2 linked regions of the Drosophila melanogaster genome follow. The protein of the gene in region 1 interacts with the protein of each later gene in a pairwise test. Each region holds a gene or a part of one and is shown on either strand. Other genes may lie near its edges. The genes, in order: CG16790 and PGRP-LB.

Evidence for each region.
Region 2: the proteins of CG16790 (region 1) and PGRP-LB interact in a two-hybrid assay, tested with the Drosophila melanogaster proteins (one large-scale study listed by BioGRID).

What each region holds. Positions count from the first base shown.
Region 1 is NT_033777.3:9,568,467-9,571,954, forward strand, and holds CG16790 (uncharacterized protein), read right to left. Parts: upstream 1,749-3,488; 5' UTR 1,675-1,748; coding exon 1,577-1,674; intron 1,525-1,576; coding exon 1,183-1,524; intron 1,122-1,182; coding exon 785-1,121; 3' UTR 608-784; downstream 1-607. Other genes in the region: CG16789 (uncharacterized protein), read left to right, coding at 1-53, 116-286, 340-514; CG9396 (uncharacterized protein), read right to left, coding at 2,017-2,283, 2,667-2,707, 2,766-2,913. UniProt on the Drosophila melanogaster protein: 3'-5' RNA exonuclease that trims the 3' end of oligo(U) tracts of the pre-U6 small nuclear RNA (snRNA) molecule, leading to the formation of a mature U6 snRNA 3' end-terminated with a 2',3'-cyclic phosphate.
Region 2 is NT_033777.3:11,457,417-11,462,553, forward strand, and holds the start of PGRP-LB (peptidoglycan recognition protein LB), read right to left. Parts: upstream 3,137-5,137; coding exon 3,031-3,136; intron 605-3,030; exon of another isoform or gene 207-604; coding exon of another isoform or gene 170-206; intron 1-169. UniProt on the Drosophila melanogaster protein: N-acetylmuramyl-L-alanine amidase involved in innate immunity by degrading bacterial peptidoglycans (PGN). Probably plays a scavenger role by digesting biologically active PGN into biologically inactive fragments. Has no direct bacteriolytic activity.

The sequences.
Region 1 (3,488 bases):
ATTCCACGACCGGATTACGGCGCCATGTCACATGCCTGGAAAACATTGTTACAGTGCGTAAATGTGGGGGATTCATTTGCAAAATAATCTACTGATTTGGTTTGCACCCCGACAGCGATTACTCTGGTGGCATTTCCAATCTGGACACCAGCGCCATGGCCAAAATATCAGATGGCTATACCATTGGGTCCATCGATGCGTGCCTCAAGGAGGTGATGACCTGCAAGCGGAAACTCCAGCTGCGCACCCAACCATTGACCAATGCCGAACTGATCAATGTTCTGTGGTAAGTAGATTTGGCTATGAAATTAGTTAGTTGTTAGTTTCCATGCCTTTCAGCTCACGAGATCCCGTCTACCGCGAAGAGGAGGAAGCTTTCGAGTCCTGGTGGTCGAAGACCCCGCTCGGCCGCCGTCGTCAGCGGTTTTTGGAGCTGGAGGAGGAGCGATTACTGGAGGAGCAGGCGCAGGCGGCCAAGCAGGGAAATGGTAACAAGAAAAAGGGTCTTAATTAAAAGGTAATCACTGGACTTCTTATATTTAAGCCTAATTTGTAAGGAAACATCTTTGGATTGCTAATGGTAACCATTCATTCAACGCTATGGCTTGCTTTACAATCTTGCTTTTATTAGCAAACTACAATTTATATGTTCATATATATGAGCTAATATGGAACAGATTACATTTTTGATACCTAATAAAGTCAATATATATTTTCCACTACATTCCAATTGAAAGATCAGCATGCATAAATATTTATGATTCAGTTAAAGACTGGCAATATCCTATTTCAACGAGTAGGTAAAATCCTTGTTGCCGCACTTTAGGTGCACCTCATTGACCGCCAGGCAGAGTTTGTCCTGATCATCAAGGAGCTCTTTTAACTCCGTGAGCTTTTCGTTAAGCAGTGTCTCCTGGTCGCCAACGCACCAAAGAAGGCTGACGTGGAACGAGGCCGGATCATAGAACTGTTGCAGCCGGTAGTCGAGCATCACTTGGTCGATGGGCTGCAGAATGGCAGTCATCTTCTCCACAAATGCAGCGTCCAGGGGCGCAGCAATGAAGGTCCTGGTTCGCTCCTCATTCGTGTAGATCCGCAGCCCCTGCAAAGTGGCGGCGAATCTAAAAGAGGATTGGTCATCAGGATGGGAGATACTAGATTTAACTTGGTTAAACATCTCACCCCGCAGAGCTGTTGAGGGCGCTTTGCAAGGATCGGGAGAATTCATCGATCTGATGGTACTGCAGCACCACTGTTCGACTCAGGCTCAGATGGAGCGACTCGTTCGGCTGCAGTTCCAAGTGTGGCTCCAGACGAGCAATGGCCTCCGTTTGGAACTCCTCCAGCTGGTCAACACATGCTGTTGCCGGCACATAGACGTAAGTGGCCCAGTTTCCCCGTTCATGCTTGAAACTACGCATGCGGCCGCCATGTTCCGCGGGATCATCCACCACATCCTCGACGAACTCCTCGGGCTTGGGCTTCTTGGGGCCCAGCAGGGTGGCTGCTTTGGGTAGGGCCGGTCTTTGGCGGTTATAATGTAGAAATCTACGGGTATTCCAGTAAAGGACGTTACCTTTTCAAGGTGATCAACGCGGGAGTTTGAATGTTTTCGGTGCAGTCCTCATCCTCGGAGGCGGAGGAGCTGCTGCCACCATAGTCCACCAGGGCCATATTATTATTTATTTATGTATTTTTATTTGATTGCAGTAAACAAGAAATGACCAACAGCACAATGTTCGGCGGTTTTTATTTACATTTATCGATTAAATTGAAAGTGATGTGTATTTAGCTTGGTTTTAAATTTATGTTGATAAACTATTTTGTTTTAAGCAATTAAATTGCAATTAATAACATTAAAAAAAAGTTATAAAATTCACTTTTAATTATTTAAATAGTACTTATTTTTTTAACATTTTTTTACTGTAAAATTTCCACTTTAAATGTATTGACCGTTAAAGCCTTAAAACTTGTTTTTATTTAGACTAAATCCATTGAAATGCACAAATTGGACTACTACAAACTGGCTTCAATAGCCGGGCATTGCTCGCCATTTTTCTCCAGCCTCGACTGCTCCCACTGGTAGTTGTAGTACCTACCCAATTGGAAGAGCTGCGTCAGACTCACGAAGAGATTAACCGCGAACAAGCTGTAGTTCTTGGGAATGATCACCAGAGAGTAGCGCGTCCAGATGAGGTTCGTTGCCCCAAGAGCCAGACATCCGTTAGGCGAAATCTTGTCCGCAGGACGCGTCAAATCACTGAGACCCGCGATAACGAGGCTCTGTGGTGGAATATAAACGGAATGGTTGCGGAGATTAGGGAGATCTGGCCGATAGTGCAGGGTAAGTCCCCCCATTGACTGCAAATCTGAATAGCATGTTGGCAAAGCTCCCCCCAGTCAAAACAGTAAAAGTATTATGAAATATTCCATGAGCCCCACAAACCGCACAATCATTCAGTTATCAGAATCTCGCGCGTGGAGAGGAAAATGGTATATAAGTACATATATACATATTTATCGCGGGCTTGAACAGGTTTGCCGAGAACTAAACAAATAATAATAAAACACAATATTCGCCCACAGGTTTGTTTATCAGTACGGTGATAATGGGAATTGGCTAAGGACGCAGGGTTCATGGTTATGCAAGTAGTGCAAAAACTTACCCACTTAACGATTGGAGCCCAAAAGAATATGGTCTTGGGTCCTGAAGGAAAGATATGTTAGTTCCTCTCTGTGCTTAAAATGCTTCTATTTATGATCACCTGCTGGGTGCATCCACAAGGGTCGCATCTTGGGGGGCACATACTTGTCGCAGGCCTTGATAAGTCCATTATATGCCCTGGAGTGAAGACCCTTTCCGGCGGAAGCTGCAGCCGTGGGCGCAGGTGTTGTTGGAGGAGTGGCAGACATTCCGGAACGCTACTGTTTTTCCTATATTTTCCAACGTCCAACCAATAGCAGATGCACAGAGTAACTGCTGGTCAGGTTTGCGAATTGAGAGGAATTCTATATGGCCTACCTGTAATCAAGTATTTGTTGAGTATGGGCTGATTGATTGGAAGCGCTGGAATAACAATCGCCTGGGACTGCGATAAACCAGTTGGGAAGTAGTGCTCCTGAACAAACTGAGGCACAACAGCTCCAACCAGGCGTCCATCTACAACTGAGCTTTCCGAAAAGTCCGGGGTCCATGCACATATGTTTATGTTTCTCTAGTATTATTAGCTTAGCGCTCCTGTTATCACCAGCACTATCAGCCACTGGAATACGACGACGCCAGCCCCTTTTTTTGCACTTTGCTTTTGCCGCAAAACTAATATAAGCTCTTAGTTATATTCTCCTTTTATTGGTTTTTAATTAATTTGTGTTGACTAATTGTGTAAAACTCAACACAGTTATCGAACAGCGAATGTGCAAATAGATTCATCACACATGGCGTATGAGTTATCTTCTTGATAATCCGGTTTTATTGCAATCTAAGGATT
Region 2 (5,137 bases), 1.9 Mb from region 1:
GCTATCAGTGCGCTCAGCTGACGCAGATTGCACTTGCTGGGCGCTCAGGAATTCAAAAAAAAAACCCGATCTTATAGCCCCACATTCCCATACCGGGTGCTATCTGCACAATTGGTAAGTTCTCAGGGGCATGGCGATAAGGAAAAGCACCCTAACACCCGGCACTTACCCATCATCGATAGCAGAACTAATCCCAGTGCTGTCATGTTGCTGCTTTTAGCTGCTGTTGCTGCGAAGTTGCTGCTGCTGTTGCGATGTTGCTGCTGTTGCCAAGTTGCTGCTGCTGTTGCGAAGTTAGTGCTGCTGCAATCCAACTGCTTAGGAACTGTGACTTGGATTTAGGAACTTTTGTATCGACTGCTAGTCGCTGTTTGTTTCTTGTCTTGTTTGTTTGTTTATTTTTGTGTTTGTTTGTTTCTTTGTTTGTTTGTTGGTTTGCTTGCAGCGTTGTTTGTTTGCTGGCTGACTGCTACCGTTTATTTTTTTTTTGCTTTGTGGCAAGAGTTGTGCAAAATTTCGACAGTGTGTGAAGGTCAGACTTTGGTGCGGCAGCGCTCACATAGCGGCGTTATGCTTCGTATCAAGCGTATAAAGCGCGAATGTTGGCCAGCATAAGGGCGGACCGGAGTTTATAGAAAAATTCACACACCGAATTCGCACTGCTGCTGCTGCCTCTGCTGCTGCTTCTGCCTCTGCTGGCGTCGCTGCTTCCGATTGCTGTTGCTGTGACCGCCGCCGCTGCCGTGGGAGCAATGCCAAACAAATGGCTAATCGCATCGAACTTATGGCCCCCCAACGCTCTCGCCGCTCGCTCTTTGATTTCGATTTCGCTCGGAGTGAGCTTTTGGCCGCCGCTGCCGCGCCTCGACGGTTACCGCCGCTGTCGCGGCTACCGCCGCTGCTTCTGCTGCTGCCGCTGCCGCCGTTGACGTCGCAGCCGAGTTTGATAAAGCTGTTATCAGGCGGCGAGTTGCGCTAAGGTCACGATGTCGCCCTTAGGGAAATTTAATACGATGATCGAACTAGCGCCTCGTTTGCGGTGAATTACCCATGCCGCCGCGAATTTATTGGCCCCATTCAACCGCATTTTACCTCCTCCGATCGCCGGTACTTTTTTTTTTTTGCCAATCCGAAGGGTTCTTTTTCAAGCGCTGCGGCTACGAGGGCTATCACACGTGTCACTCTGAATCGACATTCCAAATGACAGATACGCGTGCAGAGAAAGAAAATATTGGCACCAGACAATATTTGCTTTATTCAGCCAAACGTTTTCACTTAAACCAACTTGTTTGAAATTAGCTTTGATTATTTTGCATTGAGTGATTACTGTTCCACTGTTCATGTGTGAACCTATTTCAAAATCGTTACTTTTCTTCGCGTGCACGAAATGACTACACTTTGGCCCAACACTTAGATAACCAATTAGGGTTAATCACTGAAAACGTTGCATAGACTATAGGGCACGACTCACGCCCCGCAATAACAACTTCCGACAAGCGTGAGTGATTAACAATCCCAACTGTTTTGGCAAGTGACGATTAGATTACCGTGATACGGATCGCTGATCATACGGATCAGAATGACACTCATTCAACTAGTTCAATATCGGTCATTCTCGAAGGTCGCTGCTGATAAGAACCCTCTATCGAGGGCATAAATCAGCTATGGGGAACTTTTTTTTTTTTAACCAATTCTCAAGACTTTGGTTGTGCAAATAATCAGACAGCTGCGAACTGAACTTAGCATTTGCCAATGGCTAAGTTTACGTTATTTTTGAATCTCCCTGTGGCGATTTATTAATGTCACTGTTATTCGCCCAAAATGAAATCTATGAGTCATCCGTTGCTTTAACCATCTCTTTTTTAAATGGTAATATTGCGTTTTTGAGCTCACATCTGCGGTTTTACTTCTTGTGTTTTGATAAATGAACGAACAATTTCCATAGCTGGAGGTGACAGTTGAATTGTTGAATATTTTTTGCAGTCAGGAAATTCGGCTGATGCCATCTAAATACATAGTCACAGACTAGAGTTAAAACAAAGGTTGACAGCTCGCAGATGTGACATTTCTTCGTACGAAATTCCTTATTTAAAAATGTAAATTAACCATTTCAATGAAATCTTTATATTAACTTAGATACAGATTTTTAATTGAATTCATTTTTGAAATGTATTCTCATTTTTTATGTTCATAGTGGAAAGATTATTCTTTTAGTCTGAATCCTTTATAAGAACCAACTTGAATCGTTTCAATAGTTTGGGTTTACTTTGTTTTACACGTAAGGATACATGATATCTTATTTAAATTATATTCCTATAAAAGCTGATATTCTTTTCGCACGATTTCAGTTGTTTACGATTCCAAAACTCAAAACCGTGATTTTTTATGGCTGGTTGCTGTGACAGCATCACTGCCCCCGTCGTTCTCTGTGTCATTTGCTTTCTTTGACCACCGGCACCGGACATACTCTTTTATAATATGTATTCGTGTGATTTAATTTTTGTTTTTGTTGTATTTTCGAATCGGGGATGCCCCTTGGTGGGATCGCTTTGATTTTTTTGGGGGAATCCCGCTGCAAATGCGGCTGGTATTAAATTGCTTTAGTCGGAGTGCCGAGATCGGATGGCTAGACAAATTAACAGCGTTTTATTTTCCGTCGTCGATTTATGGCGAACAAGCACATTCCATCTTCATCTTCATCTCGCTCTTAATCTGAATTAGTTTTTTTTTCTTTGTGTGCACACAGGTTTTTCGAGTCGAAAATTTCGGGGGATAACCGCCAGATGCGTTCTGGCGCCTCGTCCAAAGGAAGTCCAAATCACCGGACTCATTTTCTCCTCCAACCTCTACTTGTCTTATTTTATTTGCTGTTTATACTTGTGGCAAGGTAAACACGCAGACCACACCGCCCCCCCCCCTTCGCCCAGCATTGGAATATTTATTACACTTCAAAAAGGGGAAATTTCTCTCAAACGCTCTTGGAAATTGTTGAATTGTTTTCAGCAGCAAAATAGTTGCGGCGCTACTTACCACAACTTGTGGCCAGCTGTTGCTGCTCCAATTGCTCCGAGTCCATGAGGATTGCCAAGGAAGTTGGGCCAGAAGTGGAGACGGATCCAGACACCTTGTCGCCCATGTTGTTTGCCAATGTCTTTGACGCTAACTGAAATGAAGTCCGAAGTCTTAGAGGCAGTTTTCTATGTTCGTTGGCAACAAGGGGACCGTTGATTAGGTCTTGTAATCTTGAGTTGCTCTTCTTTCTTCGAGAGGTCCACCACTTGGAAGTTCTTAAATCCGCAGGTTAAATGAAAAATAAATACGTTTAACAATTATTTTCGTGTGCATGGGGTCGTCAATTTGATGGGCCCAAGCAGGTGGATATACAATGCTAATAAATATATTTTAACGACCCAGGTGTGCAAATCAGATAAACACACAGCGAAAAATGTTTCGTATATATCTGTACTCATTAATACGAGATGTTTGTTTAGAAAATGCATTAAGTCCTACAAAAATCCCCCAAATAAATCGGGTATACAATTAATATGCGATAAAAATCAATTGAATTATCACCGATCGAAAATCCCCGGTTAGAGCATTGCGCATTCGACTTTTGGCAGCTGGAAGCGCTGACCATTGTGCTCATAACTTACCATTCGACTGGCTGCCCGCTAATCGCACATCTTATCAGGGTATTAAGTGCCGCTCACTAACTACGCCTTGGCACGCTCTCCCAGTAAAAAATTTCGAGGGGGGGCAAAAATCACACGCAAAATCACAGGCCTTCTTTTATAACCCCCCCCCCCCCAGCACCAGCTCCAGCTCCAGGTGGTGGTGGGGTATTCACCCAGGTAAACATTATCGAGCCAGAAGCTTTACACTCTCGCACATTAGACAAATAAACGGGTGTCTCTGCGTTGGTTGGTTGGTTGGGGTTGTGTGTATTACAATTAACAAAAGTAATTGCACTCGTCTGGGAATCCCCGGGGCCACAATGAAAACTCTTTGATGGCGTTGGCCATGCAAGTGGGAGAGTCTATCTATATCTATCTATAGCGCAAAGTGAAACACACTATAATTTCCACGCGGATACTGACTGGCCGTCCTATCTGTTTTCAATATTTCATTTTCCCTATCGGAATAATCGCAATCGTTATAAATGGCTCCCGAGAGCCAACTGTGAATATCAGGCAATAATGAGAAGTAGTAATTTAATGATACGAATTCAAGGGCCGGGTTTTTTTTTTTCTCTTCCCCGTCGGCTGAAAGATAACGTTGGGGGTTTTTTTTTCATTTTAAAGTAACTGACCTTATTTAATTTTGGCATCAGATTTGGACTTAATGGAGTGCTTTTCGATCGTGATAGTAAGTGATACATTAATTTTCTCTGCGTGCACATTCATTTAGATATATATACATATGTATATGCCAACACCCCCAATTGAAATCTTCGGCTGTGCGAACAATTCATCAGATGTCGCCATATCATTGCCTGTGCTGATTAGTTACGCCTTGCTGGTTGGTATCCCCTCAAAATTGAGCATGGGGGGATACCAGGCGGTGGCGAAGGATACTGCTGCTGGTATCCTTGTAGCGGCACGCACATGCCATATATTAGGACGCATAAAATGACAAACGACTCGCGAGGCGCGTAAATTGAAAACTCGCTGAGCCTGTGCGAGATTGCCAGCGCAAAGGATCCGCGGGGCGAAATTGTGTAAGGGGCTGGGTGGGGGGTATTGGTCCTGAAATGGGTGGCGGGGAATTTGGATTTCGGCGACTTTTTGGCTGTTTGTTATTGCTGCCTGAGCTGTCTCACTCGCTAGCTGGCTGTCGGCCAAAACTTTGCCAAAGTATTCAAATTAAAATTTCAATTAAGGAAGTGAATTTGTGTGTGCCGAAAGTGTATTAAGTCTATACAGCGGTGGCATCTTGGCATTTCACTGCTTCTGTATTCCACGTGTGCCTCTCTTGCCACGCCCCACCCCCTCCTCAACCGCCCACTTTTGTATGCCCGCACAGAAGGCTAAAACCGAAGTGAACTGAACTGAGCTGAGCTGAACCGCATTCAGCTGAAGCTGTACCGCCTACAAACAGCGCTCGTCGCCTGTTGTTTGATTTATTGCCAAAGTTTGTC